2 linked regions of the Lepisosteus oculatus genome follow. The protein of the gene in region 1 interacts with the protein of each later gene in a pairwise test. Links are inferred from orthologs where the notes say so. Each region holds a gene or a part of one and is shown on either strand. Other genes may lie near its edges.

Evidence for each region.
Region 2: the proteins of apip (region 1) and PDZ domain-containing protein 4 interact in a two-hybrid assay, tested with the Homo sapiens proteins (2 studies listed by BioGRID and IntAct). The two-hybrid records come from large-scale screens. The link is inferred for Lepisosteus oculatus from reciprocal best matches to the Homo sapiens genes APIP and PDZD4.

What each region holds. Positions count from the first base shown.
Region 1 is NC_090716.1:14,265,471-14,273,450, reverse strand, and holds the start of apip (methylthioribulose-1-phosphate dehydratase), read right to left. Parts: upstream 3,019-7,980; 5' UTR 2,784-3,018; coding exon 2,730-2,783; intron 2,235-2,729; coding exon 2,134-2,234; intron 1,205-2,133; coding exon 1,156-1,204; intron 1-1,155. Other genes in the region: pdhx (pyruvate dehydrogenase protein X component, mitochondrial), read left to right, coding at 4,316-4,451, 7,068-7,151. UniProt on the Homo sapiens protein: Catalyzes the dehydration of methylthioribulose-1-phosphate (MTRu-1-P) into 2,3-diketo-5-methylthiopentyl-1-phosphate (DK-MTP-1-P).
Region 2 is NC_090697.1:74,993,867-75,001,147, forward strand, and holds the start of PDZ domain-containing protein 4, read right to left. Parts: upstream 3,011-7,281; 5' UTR 1,916-3,010; exon of another isoform or gene 1,142-1,915; 5' UTR 1-1,141.

The sequences.
Region 1 (7,980 bases):
ATACATAGCAACATATCACTGAGCGGCTGATGTCGGCTGGCCAATAGCCCCTCGCACTCCTTGAGCTGCCTTAGGAGCATGGATTCTTCTTTTGGGTGGCTTCAAGGTGTGGCCCCCAATGCCTGCAGAGGCCATACTGCCAATATTTCTTAAATTAATCAGATTTAATTGCTAACATAATTAAGATAAATACAGCTTAATTACAGAATGACGTGGGGAATAACCTGCTGCCTTTTATCACCTTACTAGTAGAAGGAAGACAATTTGCCAAGTGATGACCTAAAACAAGGAAGTAAAGGCTTTCAACGCCTGAGAGCAGAATCTACACATGACAAGTAGGACAATGATTAATAAAGTATATAGACATATGATGGTGCTAGTAAACAGTACTTCTGCCAAACTTTGTGCTCAGCGACAAACTTGAGAAGAGCTTTGTTAGGGCTCTAAAGCAGTTAGGTTTTGTTTTGTATTTTGACAATTTACTGCTATTTTCCTTTCTAATTAAAGACACTAATTCTAATTCAGCTTGTGTGTCACGCATGAAAGAGCTGTAAAAGAAGATAACTGAGTGAATTAGTTATCATGGGTTGTAACACACAGACGTTTTTTTTTTGTCCTGGGTAGCTGACACTAAAGTTTATGTTCTGGAAATGGGTGGAAGATACATTAACACTTAATTTGTGGTGGAAGGAAGTTTGCAAAGTGATGCAGAAAGTGCAGTAGTTGATTGCTAGCACTCTAGAGATTAGGAGATCTTAGCATTAATCTACTGCTTCCATGCTTGGAGAAAGACAGCATAGAAGATACAGCATTCTGCTATCCAACACACTTTCTCCTTAATACACCACAAATATGTCCTTATTTTACTTTTTAGTTTAGAAATAACCTTTAACTTTTAATTTGAAGCTCACATGCCAACACAGCTCCGTACTCTGAACAATCTGGGTATTTTATTGGTAAAATTGTTTTTTTTGTATTTAAAATTGTACTAGGATATATCTGACTTATATGAAAGCTAAAAAAATATTATCCGACTAGATACCTGAGATAAGATACATTAACCAGACACCTAATGTCAAGGGGAGAAAAAAGGCATTAAACTCAAAAGGTATTCAGTTACAGGTCCCAGGCAGTTCCTCAGAGATCTTTACTGACCTGAATCCTTTCCTTCTGCACTCCTGAGGGGGCAATGTAGATGTGATCTCTGAAGGGGTAGGCCAGAGAGATACAGTCAGAACACAATCTCATTAAGCATTTGCTTCTAAGTGAAGTAACAAGAACTACTTGCTTTATTTTAACTGAACAAGACAGTTACTGCCTTTATCCAATGAGAAGTTACACCTGTCTTCTCCACAATAAAGAATGTAATCTATATCACCTGGACACTCTTTTTTTAATCTAACACATGAACATGACAAAGGACTGTCTTCACCTCAAAAAAAAAACATACCAGTATAAATCAGACACATTTTAAAGTAACTTACAGGAGGGATTTTATCTTGATGAAATATCCCTGTTACACACATTCACACCTGAAGAAGGCTCCACGGCCAAAACGTGTTTTTTTTTCTTTTCTTTTCAACATGGAATAAACCTATTACTTGTTCCTATAACACTGTTATCCTGTTTACCTCTTGACAACCTCTTTATACATTTGTGATATAGATGCATTGTAGTGCACATGCTTCTACTGCTTCAGCCTCAGTAGATTTAGCACACTGTTGACTTACTATTTAGGCTCACAGCTGAGAGAGTAGACGGTAGTCTCCTGTAAGAGGGCAGTGACTCCAGACAAAATGGAGATTCGGTTTGCAAGGACAAGTGGTCAGGTGAGAATTTAAAAGGGCTGAGGCTTGACAGGGTCAGCCTCTGGCTTCCTTTCCTCACGCCTAGCGCAGCACGCACAGTGGAGGATCTGCGCTCTGTCCCCAGATGGCAAGGCGAGTTACACCTTGAAGACATTTTGTCTGGGGTCACCGGCCTCTCACACCTTCCCAAACCTGAATGGGCACAACTGAATGAAGATTGTCTTCACTTCATACTCTTTCTATGAAATGGCATTTGTTCTCTGAATTGGTGCTGCACACTGGATGACCACACCAGATTTCTAAGCTTCAGGCTTGGCATACTCACCCCTGCCTGAGACTGATACCCCCTCCTGTTCCTGTCACCCAGCCTAACTGGTAGAAGAGTTTGCAGAGCTCAGGAATCAGCAACCTTGGGTTGTCCTTGTCCTGGAATGGAAAATATTCACTAAAACAAACGGCAATCTCATTCTGTCTCAAGCAAATTCCATTACTGTCCAGTCAGTTCAAGGAGTAGGGCACTAGGGAGTATTCTTGACCACCATCCGGTGCAGAGCAGCTCAACATCTGTGCTGTTTTTGTTGCAATATACTGCTCATTTCTTAATTGTGCAAGGCCACAACTCGCAAATAAAATACATGTCGAAGGTATCTGTCACGTGAGTGATTATTTAATTGTGGAACGTCATAATAATTCAGCGGCAATACCACAGAATAAACGCTAAAAGGGACAATTAGCACATTGCATTATGTGCGTCTGTTGCTTGAAAGTTTCTAAAAGCAGGCTGACCACATGGCAGCGTAAACGACGTTTATATCATCGACATTCGCGTTGTCCGGATTTAAAGGGGGGGAAAACTTCAATATTGTTACGTAACGTAAACACATTTTATATTTCTGAGAAAGCAACTTTGGATAAACTTACCTCAATAGATTGGGCACATTTAGAGCAGTCGCGATTATAGACCGCTGAAGACATTTTTAGCAATACTCTTCGGCAAATAAAAATTAATGCCTAAATTAAGGCCTAAACTTGCTTTCGTTCCTTGACCGTGTACTTGGTCACAAGAACGCCTTAAAGAACAGGACGATGAAAACGAAAACCGCTCGCCACCCACCCCTCACGTTTTTGAGGCACAGAAAGTCTAAACAGTACAGCCACTATGTTGGTTTTCGATGGCTGCTGCTCCCTGCTGCTCCCTGCTGCATAAGTCTGCGCAGCGTCTGCACAGATCTGCACAGGTCCGCTTCATGTGACGTCGTATGTGACGTCACTGCGCAGCCCCGGTCAGTAAACTCGGTAACTCTGGAAGACAAGATGCGCATGTTGCTGGTATCATCGTGAGGCACAGCTTGCTGGATCATCTGCAGCTCTGAAAATCTGAATATTATCCAGCCCACAAGTACCAGAATTAAACTAACTGAACATTTCTTTTTGTTTAATTGAGAAACAAATGAGTGTTCCTAAGATGCTAATGATTTAACCTATAAAGGCTATAGGAACTGGGGTTCTGTGTACCAGAGAGGTAAACTGACACCAGAGATATACTGACACTGCACTTGTAATTACTGTCAGAAGTGTTAAATTACCTTAGGTGTGCCTCCAGTCTGTTGTTCTTCCCCCCTCACAATGTATTTTTGTGAAACAAAGGTTGTCAAAATACAGCAGAGAAGCAGGCACAACATTGCAGGAACTCCTCCTGCTACAAACCCTTCTCATCCAACACAATAAGAGATGGAGCAGGTGACCACCTATTCAGCAAAAGATGAGGTAAGCAGGATGTGGATGTGAAAAGGTATCATCCCAACCTGCTTTATTTACTCTACATTGTGAAATCCACATGTTACAGTGTGACATGCCGCATTCCTGTGTCCAGGGGACACATTTTCACAAGAAAACCCCTGGCTTGAGGTGGAGATTACATCAACTACAACTCAAGGGCAAAATGAACACAGGTGCACAACTCTGGTCCTCACAAGAAGAATCCAGCAAGGGTTAATATCCTACTTCCTCCTACTTTTTTTAGTAGCTTGGGTGTTTGGGTACCAACTGATAATGTTTTAAGGAGGGAGCTGTATAACACACCTACACTGAATTAAACTGGAAGGGCTGGGCTTTGCCTGCGCATATGCAACAGTGCGGAGTTTGCAGACTTTTCTGGCTTAGCAGTCGAAATTTGCATGCAGCTCTGCTCTTGCCTGCCCGACCGCCGAGTGCAGTGAGATCTGCGCAGATCTGCAGGCTTTGCGTATAAAGGAAGCGACAAGAAGCGCGAAGGACCTCTTCTCATGGATGGGGTCCTTCTATCACAATTGTCGTTTGTTTTTGTAGTTAGTTATCCTGCCTAAATTTAAATTGTTTTATTTAAAATAAGTGGGAAAATGTCATATTTTCGTTAAACAGCACTAACGTGAAACATGCAGTAAAAAACGTATCCATTCATTTCTGCACTCAGAAACGCAAAACTTTGAAAGGCAGTAGGGTAACTGGTAATTTCCGAGGACACAAATATGGCGGCCTCCTTGCGGATGGGACATCGGGGGATATTGAGTGGTTTGAGGTTAATAAAACTGAAGAAATGCACCGGTTTAACCCAAACTCAGGATGGATATTATCGGCACTTTTTTCAGTCCTCACCAATGTTTGGTAAGTGTTGGCGTGTCACATGATAAAAACCAAAACGCACATCGCTGGCTGGGTTATAATGGAAGGTTGTGTGCTACTTGTACTGCTGTATTTTATTTTTACGCTGTTTTAAAGTTTTTAAAGCGTTAAGACTAGCACGCACGGTTCCCCTTCTAAATTGTAGTACACGTACAAGCCAGAAATAGACAACAGACGGGGACATTTAACGTTGATCATCTCAAGTTACTGTACACATTAGGAGTTTAGATTTTAATTCATAAACATAACATTGCAGTTCTTTATATAGTGCATTAGATCAAGCAATAGGTTTATTCCTGCTGAAAAGAGAAGAATGGGAACACAACGTTTCGGGTGTTGAGCCTTCTTCCGGTGGCACACCCTTCCTCCACCGTCCACACCCGAAGAAGGCTCCATAGCCGAAACGTTGTGTTCTCAGGAATAAACCTTTTCTTGTTCCTTTGCAGCCTACGCATGCTAACGCAGCTATACAGCTGGACTACTTCACAATATGCATTTTATGTGTATTATGTTATATCTTGTTGTTGATTTATGTTGGAATAGGCTGGGGGTAATCAGCATGTTTGCTGTAGCATTAGTTAACGGCAACCTCACCACCTTGTTGCTGATCCCTGCATGTTTCTATTACATAAACTTTGTAAAATTGAGTATATGAACAAAACTATATTAAACTGCATAGTCCACTCAACACTATTTCTACCTTTCATTATGTTATGGTGCTGCTTGTCTAAAGGAGAAAAAAAAGTCTTCTGTCTGCTAAAGGGAGACAAAGGCAATATGAAGGTTATGTGATAGAATAGTAGCCAACCTAAAACTGGGATGAAAACTCGCTTTTCATCAGAGCAGTGACCCACAAAATGAGTCCAAAGCTACATTCAAGTGGAACAACAGAAAGTGAGTGCTATTGAGTGTTCTAGTCATGATTCTGACTTCCATCCAATGGAAAGCCAAGACTTTGAAAATCGGCCATCAATAATAAGTGTCGGTGAGAACAGTCAGCTGCAGTATACATCCTGTTATTTTATTCATTATATCTTTCCAGGTAGTGAGAAGATGAAAGAGTAATCCTTACCAAGTGATTATGAACTCCTATCATTTTTCATACATGATTTGTGTCATATTGTTACTACTTTGTGATTAGTCTTTAAATTCTGCAGGAAAAAAAAGAGAACATTCAAGGCATGCTTGTCTGCCCCCTTAGAGCATAGCAGTCCTTTGTATGATGTTCTGCTTCAGGCCCTGCATCACACAGCGTCGATTAGTACAACTGGGGTTGGCTGTCCCTTTCTTGTTACTGCTTTGGTTACTGTTCCTTTGCATGGCCTTCATGTTGCCTTCATCAGTGCTACATGTTTTAATTTTGCATGGCTATCTCTCTAATGCAGTTTGTTTTCTCCTTATAACCATGCATTATACCGGTCTAACTTGCTAGATCTAAAGCATCATGTACTATTAGGATATGGTGTCATTGACGATTTAGTCTTTAGTAGGTTTTAAAAGGTATCGTAGAACTCATTAACAAAAAGCAATCAGAACAACTGGGTGGAAAGCATTTTAAAAGAAGTGCTAATTCGATCATTGCAATAGTAATGAACAATAATTCCATTTTGTTGTGATTCTTCAAAGGGGCTGCAGGGGGCAGCAAAGTCTCTTTGCAATTGTTTTTTAATCACGGTTTACTTTTTGTACTGAGCCTCCTCAAGAAGTAAAGTTGGCTCTGACCCTTCATCTAGATACCCTGAGTGTTCTTAGACCATTCCAGTCTATCGTCTATTTTGTTTTTCTTGAAGTAGTTTGGGACCTCAGCTACTTGGTTGGGAGAGCAGAAATCCACAACTCTTTTTGTCAAGAAGGATTCTGTTATTTTTGTAGTCTACCTTAAATTAATTCCCTGCTACTTTCCAGTTGTGATCCTGTATTCATTTTTGGTGAAGTAGTCCCCTGGGTTAACTATGTTTGCTGTATATTGTACCCATTACAGTTTTATACACATGTAATACATCTCCTCTTGCTCTGTTGTGTTAAAAGCAAAGACATGCTGCTCTTTTAATCTGTCTGGATAAACCAGTACCTCTTGAGGTAAGGACTCTTGTTTGTCTTGGTTGTCTGAACTCTTTCCATGGCTGTGATATCCTTTTTGTGGAATAGTGTGCAAAACTAAGCACAATATTCAAACTCATGTGTTACAAATGCTTTACAAACCTTAACCATAATCTTCTTTTAAATTAAATGCTTTATACTTTGTGGTTTGGGGTCATCAAAAAATCTGCAGGAACATCCCTTCATGTGTGGTTTCCCACTTTAGAATCATCCAGTCAACTTTTTGTACAGTGCTCTCTTTCTTTTTTCTTTTTTTTTTGTCCAGTACCATTAAGGCTGTTTTTTCTAGACCTGGACTTTTTGCTCCAGGATTTTTTTTTAACCTTAAACATTACATTTGTTTGGGTCACATAAATTGGGTTATACATAGTCCCGTAAAGTTTTTGTACGATTCATAAAGTGTGAGAATTAATTTATTTATTGGTAACCCTCCTCCTCCACCCATCTCTGTGGCTGCTGCTGCTTGTAAGAGTCGGTGTGTTTCCTTCTGTCCTTCAGGAGTGGCCCCAGTCAAAGTGATGATGCCAGCTCTTTCCCCCACCATGGAGGAGGGCAACATCGTCAAGTGGCTGAAGAGGGAAGGTGAGAGAGGTCCTGTCTGCTGCAGCTGTGTCATAACAAAAGGAAATAAAGGAGTGCTTCTGCTGCAAAACGATACGTTTGGAGTGTTTTGTCCTACAACACAGTCCACCTGTGGTCTTCCTTCTTTATTTCACAAGTTCATCCTGCTGGCGGTTGAGCTTATTAAACATGTGGAGTGATATTCGAAAAAAAGAAAAACACACAGAAAGGATTCTATAAACCCCTATGTTCATCCATCTGTGGGGAGCTGGACTATGGCAGTGTTATGATGTTATGGCCCGATGCGGTCCATCAATAATAGGCTGTGATCTGGGAGACCACGAAGTCGTAGTACCTTGTCAGGATTGGTGGGGAGGCCCATGTGGAAAGGTCTGGTACCGTTTAGTTGTTGGAGCTCCACTTGTAGCACTGTACAGTCAGATTGGGCCCTCACTCTCCCGGGTGAAGGATGTGGTCTCATACTGACATGACAGCATTCCAGTAGGATAACTCGCATGTGTGCATCTGCTGCTTCTTGACAGTGGCTTTCTTGCGAGAAGAGAATTTTGTAAGAATGCTGTGGCTGCCTGAATGTGCAGACTGGAGCCCTGTTAAACATTTGAAAGATGAGCTGTGAAGATTATCTAGCAGCTAGCATAGAGACTAGTGAAGAGGCATTATGAGAGAGAAATAGGACGGGTTAGACTGAATCTGTACCCTGATGCATGACATGCGTCATGGATGTATAGATTGTATTGCTTCTAATGGTGGCCAGACATGGTACCAGCCCGTTATTTTCACAGTAGACCCTCCTTTGATAACAGGTTAACGGTGTAGTGAACTTGCCCAT
Region 2 (7,281 bases), on another chromosome or scaffold:
TCGGGCTTGAAGCTCTACCTGTGAGCACTCTCTGGCTCAGGATCTGTCCTGGCCTCCGCCTCTCTCTCTCTCTCTCTCTCTCTCTCTACAGGGCCTCTCTCTTGAGCCTCTTCAACTCATTTAACATGAAACTGCCAGGCTCATCGGTGGACTTGTTTAAGCCACGCAGCATTTTCCACGGGGGTGTCTCTCCGCCGGGTCCCAGGCCTTGACTGCTGGACAGGTGGGCAGACAGGCCGGGAGAGTAAACCAGGAGACCACAGCAGGTAGTGCAGCCGGTGCAGACTGACCAGCTCGCCGACCGGCAGGCTCTGAGCGGGCCCGAGAGGACAGCGAAGCGAGCCCGGCGCTAGAGAGATGCTCCTCGGAGGTCTCACCCCAGCCCCGAGCGCCGGTCCTCCCCTGGGCTGTGGGAGCCAGTCGCTTAGCTGTGCAGGACGTTCTGAAGCTCTGCGGTGCACAGAGGGATCACAGCCCTCAGCCCAACCTCCCCTGGGGTGCTGAAGCCACAGCTACAAGCCTGGAGCATCCACGGCTCTCAGAGCTGCACAGGCCACAGCAGGCCTTCAACGGGCTTAAACGCACATCAGTAGAAGATACACATCAGTGCCTGGGGAGGCCTGGAACTGTCTGTGCAATTGTCTGCGGCTCTTGTAGTGGCTCCCTGAGCTGAGAAATCAGTCCTGTCCCCTTCCAGAGAGGAAGCACAAGAGACAACGCTGGTGGCCAGTCCTCATGGCCCCTCCCAGCCACCGTGTGCCAGATGGCCACAGGGCATGTCCTGTAACACTGCGATGCTCCTTCTCCTAGTCTTCTCTCTCGGGTCGTTGTTTTAAACGTTGTCTCCCCCTAAATCTACTCCCCTCTGTCTCTTTCCTGGTTACCTACTGAAATGTCAAGGTATTTGTTGTCTGTAATTGAATTTAATTGTATTACCTCCCGCAGGCTAATGTCTTAATAAAAGATCCTGACACAGATACCACCTGGGATTGTTCTTTCTGACCAATGGCAAAATCAATAAGGGATCAATAGATCATAGCAAAGTGGCCAGGCAGGACTGGATTTAAATGCTGTGTCTATGCCGACTAAAGGTGAAAGCCATCTTCACTCCAGTCTCTCCAGTTCAATCAGAACTGCTGAGCTGTTGACAAAGAGCAGGCTCTTACAGTCCTAATGAACAGGTGAGAGCAAATACTGAAACACTTAAGGAAAAATAAGTTAATAGATAAAATTACATGTATATTTACATTTTTTCATTCCAACACCTATCTTACAGTGTTGCTGTATTATCCTGTCTCTCTCCTTCAATGCATTTCTTGAAAAAAGGCATTCAACAAGTAACTGACCATGAAAGCAACTTACTTAAGATGACTGTGTCTCTGCCTGACAGCCAGATCTCCCTGTCTGTGTGTGTGTCTTTATCGGTCAAAGCTGGTGAATATAAGCCTTTAATATTAATCTAATATTCATCTCATAATCCCAGTGCTCCAACAAGGTGGTGCTCTCTCTCTCTCTCTTGCTGCAGTATCAGAGAGCCCCAGATTACAGCAACTTCAGCATCTGTTCCTCCTGAAGGAAAAAAAAAAACGCAGGATTTCTGTTTCTTTTCAAATCTGCTGCTTTATGCCTTATCTGTCAGCTGAGCATGAAATAAAAACGCCAGACCGGTAGAGGAGGAAACCAATGTAAGCACTTTCCCGCTGGAAGCCACAGGGCTGTGTGATGATTCTCTCTAATCCTTTTTTAAACGCCTGCCAAGAGGTTACCTAATTCTATTTTAAAGCACGAGGAGCCTTCAGACAATATGACACGAAATGCACGAAGGATAACAAAATGGCCTGGTTGCAGCTGAATTCAACCACGCGCTTAAGGCAGCCCGGATATCTCGACCAAATCACAAATGCTCTTTACTCACCGAGCACAGGAGCCTGGCACGAGCCCTAGGACCCCTGTCTGTGTGTCAGACGGTCAGATGGCCACACAGCTTCCCGGTAAACACAGACCTGTGCAGCACGAACCTGGAGCAGACTGTGAGCTCGGCTGCACCTCTCCCTGTGTCTCCCCCCTCGGCTTACAGATAAATCACAGCCTCTTTCATTTTCAACACAGCGCGTGCACACACACACACACACACACACACACACAGAGGCAGGAGGCAGGAGGCAGGAGGCAGGAGGCAGGTGGGCTTGCTCACGACCTGGGCTGAACACGCCACACAATGACACGAGGAGCAGTTCGCTAACGGGACCCGACCGGGCTCCGAGGGCGACCAGGCCAGCAGCTGGAACAAGCGGAGGGATCCGGGGATGGAGGTGGGGGAATAAATCAGGCTCGCTTTTCCGGGTCCTCCACGCTGCTCCCAGAGAGAAGAGCCGCCGAGTCCAGAAAGCAGGTCCCTGCAGAACAGCCGGAGCCGGACCTGGGCGGGATCGGGCTGCGCTGTGCAGTGGCCTCTCCGATCCCGATAGAAGCGTTGCCGACGGGAACGGGAAGCCCACCTTCTCTCGTTTAATTAGTCCTCAGCAATCTCGGCATAGCAATCTCCCTCCTGCTGCCTCTGCTTGTCGTTAAAAAAAAAAACTTCCAGATCTCCAGCCAGGTGGGTGTCTCAGGAAGGCAGCCCGGGTACCAGCGACACGAGATACCCCATCATTAACAGCAGCAAAATATGGGTTAATCTTCAAATCGGCAGAGCAAGAGGAGAACAAGGCTGAAAAGAGAGACCCAGCACCTCCTGAAGCTGTGTTTCAATTACTAACGACAGTGGTGCCGCCAGCAGACGCCTGTGTGCTGTAAGTGCACCGTGTCTTCAATCCGAGCAGTCCGGAAGGCAAGGTGCCGGAGCAGGTAGTGGGATCAGCTGTGTCCGTGTGGAGAGGAATTCAGGACGCTGAGGCTGAAGCAACAGAGACCAAATTTCCACCAGCCTCAATTTCTCCTGCTGTTCCGGACAGCGTATCTCTCTCTCTCTTTTCATCTGCTCGCTTGCTCAAACCCCCCTCCCTCCTCCTCCTCCTCCTCTCTCTCTCTCCCTCTCCCTCTCCCTCTCCCTCTCTCGCTCTGTGGATACAGAATTACCTTGCAGTTCTGCCTGTCTTTTCTGTTTCTGTATTTGTGTGTGTGTGTGCTGGCAGGGCTCTCCGACACTGCAGCAAACCCTGGGAACGCACAACTCCAGTGAACAGCACACACTGTCCGGAGACAGAGGAGGAGAGAGGGACAGGGAGAGGAGGAGACAGAAAGAAGAGAGAGGGACAGGGAGAAGAGGAGAAAGAGAGAGGAGAGAGGGACAGGGAGAGGAGGAGACAGAGAGAGGAGAGAGGGACAGGGAGAGGAGGAGACAGAGAGAGGAGAGAGGGACAGGGAGAGGAGGGGACAGAGAGAGGAGAGAGGGACAGGGAGAAGGAGGGACAGAGAGAGGAGAGAGGGACAGGGAGAGGAGAGAGGGACAGGGAGAGGAGGAGACAGAGAGAGGAGAGAGGGACAGGGAGAAGGAGGGACAGAGAGAGGAGAGAGGGACAGGGAGAGGAGGAGACAGAGAGAGGAGAGAGGGACAGAGAGAGGAGGGGACAGAGAGAGGAGAGAGGGACAGGGAGAGGAGGAAGGTGTGGAGGGATTCGGGAGAGAGGAAACTGGGAGTCCAGGTGAGTGGAAGGAAGTGGGGAGAAGGAGGAAGTGGGACCGTGTGGGGGACACGGGGGGCAGAGGAGATGGGGGAGAGGGGGGAGAGGCGCGCTGAGGGGAGCAGGAAGAAACGGGAGGGCTGGCGAGCCGGGGGAGGGAGAGGGAGAGCCGGTGGCGGCCCCGTGTTGCTATGAGACTGCTCCAGTGTGAAGCCACTGATGCCGACCTCACTGCGCTGAGACGCGAGTGCTTGTCGTGTTTGTGGCACTAATCTGAAGCAGTCAACAAGCGCGCCAGCAAACCAACTGGAACCTCGTCTGCGCGGAGGAGGAAGTGTGTGTGTGTGTGGTTAGGGAGAGGGGAGCCAGGGAGACAGCTGAAACACTAAGCAGGCCTGGAGAAGAGGGAGACAGCTGAGCGCTGAAAGACAGGTAGAGGCAGGGAAGGCAGCTGAGCGAGAGAGACGTTCAGGAGGCGCCTGAATGTTACATGAGTACGAACGAGCAGCTTGGACGGCTCGTTTAGGCGTCACTCAAGCCGGGCACATGGGTACAAACAAGCGCCGAGCTCAGGGCTGTAGGTGTGTCAGTGCGGCTCTTCTCACAAAAGCGCCGCCCGTTCCGGCCCGGAGACTGGCGCTGGTGAGCTCCTTCCTGAGGGAGATGTCATTGAAGAGACGCTGGAAAAGTACTACCCAGTTCCCCGTGCTGTGGGCCACAGCTCCTAGCGCCCAGCTGGAGCGCGCAGACCGTACAGCAGGCCTGTCCACCCAGCAGGCTGGGGGGGGGGTCGTTCGCGCCTTTGCTCGTGTCCTCTCCGTCCTCCCCACACCTGGGCGGCTCTCGCGGGGCAGGAGGATGGGCTCTGCTCCAGCTGCCGTCAGCAGTGTGTGTGTGTGTGTGTGTGTGTGTGTGTGTGTGTGTGTGTGCTGTAGGCGTGCTGATGGCTGCTCTCGCGTTCTCGGTGCCCCTCGATCTCTCTGTCTCCACAGCCCTTCTCAGCTCTCCTGGTGCCTCTGTTCCAGCCTCTCTCCATGTACTGCATTCCTCTCTCTGGCCTTGTCTTTCGTCCTGTCCCACTGCTCTTTCTTGACTCCTCTATCCCTCCCTTCTCCTCTCTCCCCTCTGCTCCTGACTCCCTGCTGATACCTTTATTTCCACACCTTCCTCTCTCCCTCCACCCCTTCCTCTCTCTCGCTAAGTGCCCTCACTCCGTCTCTAATTATTATTTCCTAATTGACAACTAGGGAGGAACGCCATTGGCCGGGTGCCATCAGCTCAGGGGGCTCAGAAATGTACAGAACGTTTCTACATTTCCCCTCTCTCCCTCCCCTTCCCCATCCTCAAAAATCTTCAGCACTCATGTTCCCTCTCTCCCTATATCTCCCCTGCCTGTCTCTTGCTCCCAGATATTCAAGCAGTATTGATCATTTCCTCTTCCTCTTTCTGTTCCTGCAACTCTCACAGAATTAACTACATTATTCAACACTCTCCCTCCAGTTCTCTGTCTCTCTGCCTCTCCTCTGTCTCTCTCCCTCTGTTCCTCCAGCTCTCTGCCTATCCTGTCTCTCACTCTGTTCCTCCAGCTCTCTGTCTCTGTTCCTCCAGCTCTCTGTCTCTGTTCCTCCAGCTCTCTGTCTCCCTCCCTCTGTTCCTCCAGCTCTCTCTACCTCTGCCAGCTGTCTTTCTGTCTGTTTGAATCTCTCTGCCCCTCTGTTCAGCGGTGCTATGACATGTCCTTTACGATGCTCCACTGCTAATGCGCCAGCGACTTGTGTGAACGAAATCACATTGCTGTCACTCACAATGCTGGAAAGAGTAAGCACATGGACGGGTATCTAGTGTCATAGAAACAGGTTTATTCCATGCTGAAGGGAAAGGAAGAAAGACAAGCCAAAACATTGTCTCTCTTTTTCAGCCTGGAATAAACCTTTACCTGTTCCTTTGCATCTTACGCATGCTGACACATCTCCCTACTCAAACTTCTTCATCTAATGTCTTCGATGACCTTCATATACTGAAGACACAATGCATTTTTAATAATGGGACAAATAGGAATGCAGACATGACATGCAAAATAAAGGAGGACTGCTTAAACATTTGGGGTTTGTTACAGTATGTCGTATTCACACAGCACGCAACAGAGGCTGTAGGACAGTATTTTTTCTCCACCATGCTGTTTCACCAGGAAAGAAGTGGCTTGCGCTTAATTTAACATGCCAAAAGATGATAAAGATCTCAAGCACATTTCTGAGAAATGTCGAACTGCTAATGTTTTGCTCGGCTGAAATTTCCACTCATCTCTATGGCCCAATAAGAGATTGTGTGTGCACAAAGCTCACAGTGGACCCCGAGGTGCTCAAAGATATTTGCTCTCCATGGCGTATCCCCACCTCTCTCTCTCTCTCCCGAGTCTCCCTGCCCCCTCCCTCTCTGCCCCTCATTCATTCACACACACATCCCTGTCTGGAGGAACGAATGCGGTATGAGCCGTTAATAACCGTAATAAAAACAAAGCTGACACTGATTGCAGAGCAGGGTTGCCCTGTGTCACAGCGCTGTCACTTCACTTCTCTCTCTCTCTCTGGTTCTCTTACACACACGCACCCTCCATCGCTCCCATACACACTCAGACATGGATACTGGGAGAGCCGATGGATCACAGAGGTGTGCTGACCCACAGGCGCCGCGTGCTCAGAGACTCAGATTGACACAAGCCTGCACACACTCACAGCCCACAGCCCGCTGCCGGCTGAGGAGGGACTGTAGTTCTGTAACAGGATTACAAGTGCTCCTCTCCCAGGCTGGCTGCACTAAATGGGATCACAGGCAGATTTCTCCCATGTTAATAGCATTGCATTGAGCAGCCATTCCTATGCACATGCAAGTGTGTGCGTGAGAGAGAAGGCACAGCCTCCCGGCTCTGAGCCACACTGACTCCAGCCAGGCCTCAGGACAGCTCCAAAACCACATCACAGCACAACCCAAATAATACTACCTCCCCCACTGGGACGCGCACAAGCCGGAAAGAGTACTGGGACCTAAAAAGACAATACATACCACTGACCGGGATACTTATGAAGTACAGGCCTGGCTGCCCAGAGAGCACAGGCTCAGTGATCAGAGAAAGAAACTAGGAGACACAAGCAGACCTGGCTGTCCAGAGAGGACAGGCTCAGTGATCAGAGAAAGAAACTGGGCAACACAGGCAGACCTGGCTGTCCAGAGAGGACAGGCTCAGTGATCAGAGAAAGAAACTAGGAGACACAGGCAGACCTGGCTGTCCAGAGAGGACAGGCTCAGTGATCAGAGAAAGAAACTAGGAGACACAGGCAGACCTGGCTGCCCAGAGAGGACAGGCTCAGTGATCAGAGAAAGAAACTAGGAGACACAGGCAGACCTGGCTGCCCCGAGAGGACAGCTGGGAGAAGCAGAGACAGAGACGCACTTTCCGCTGCACTGTAAGAAATACTCGGGGGATTAGACAAACAGTCTTCCCCAAGATAACAAATCTAATCCCAGAATTCCCACCCCTGACAGAATCGGAACAGCTCCCCATCCTACTGGGGGAGGAAACTCAATAGAGCTGCAGCCCAGTGTATCACCTCCTGTCACAGCCCGAGGGACGGAGAGCGAGCCTCTAAAAAAATAGTATCTT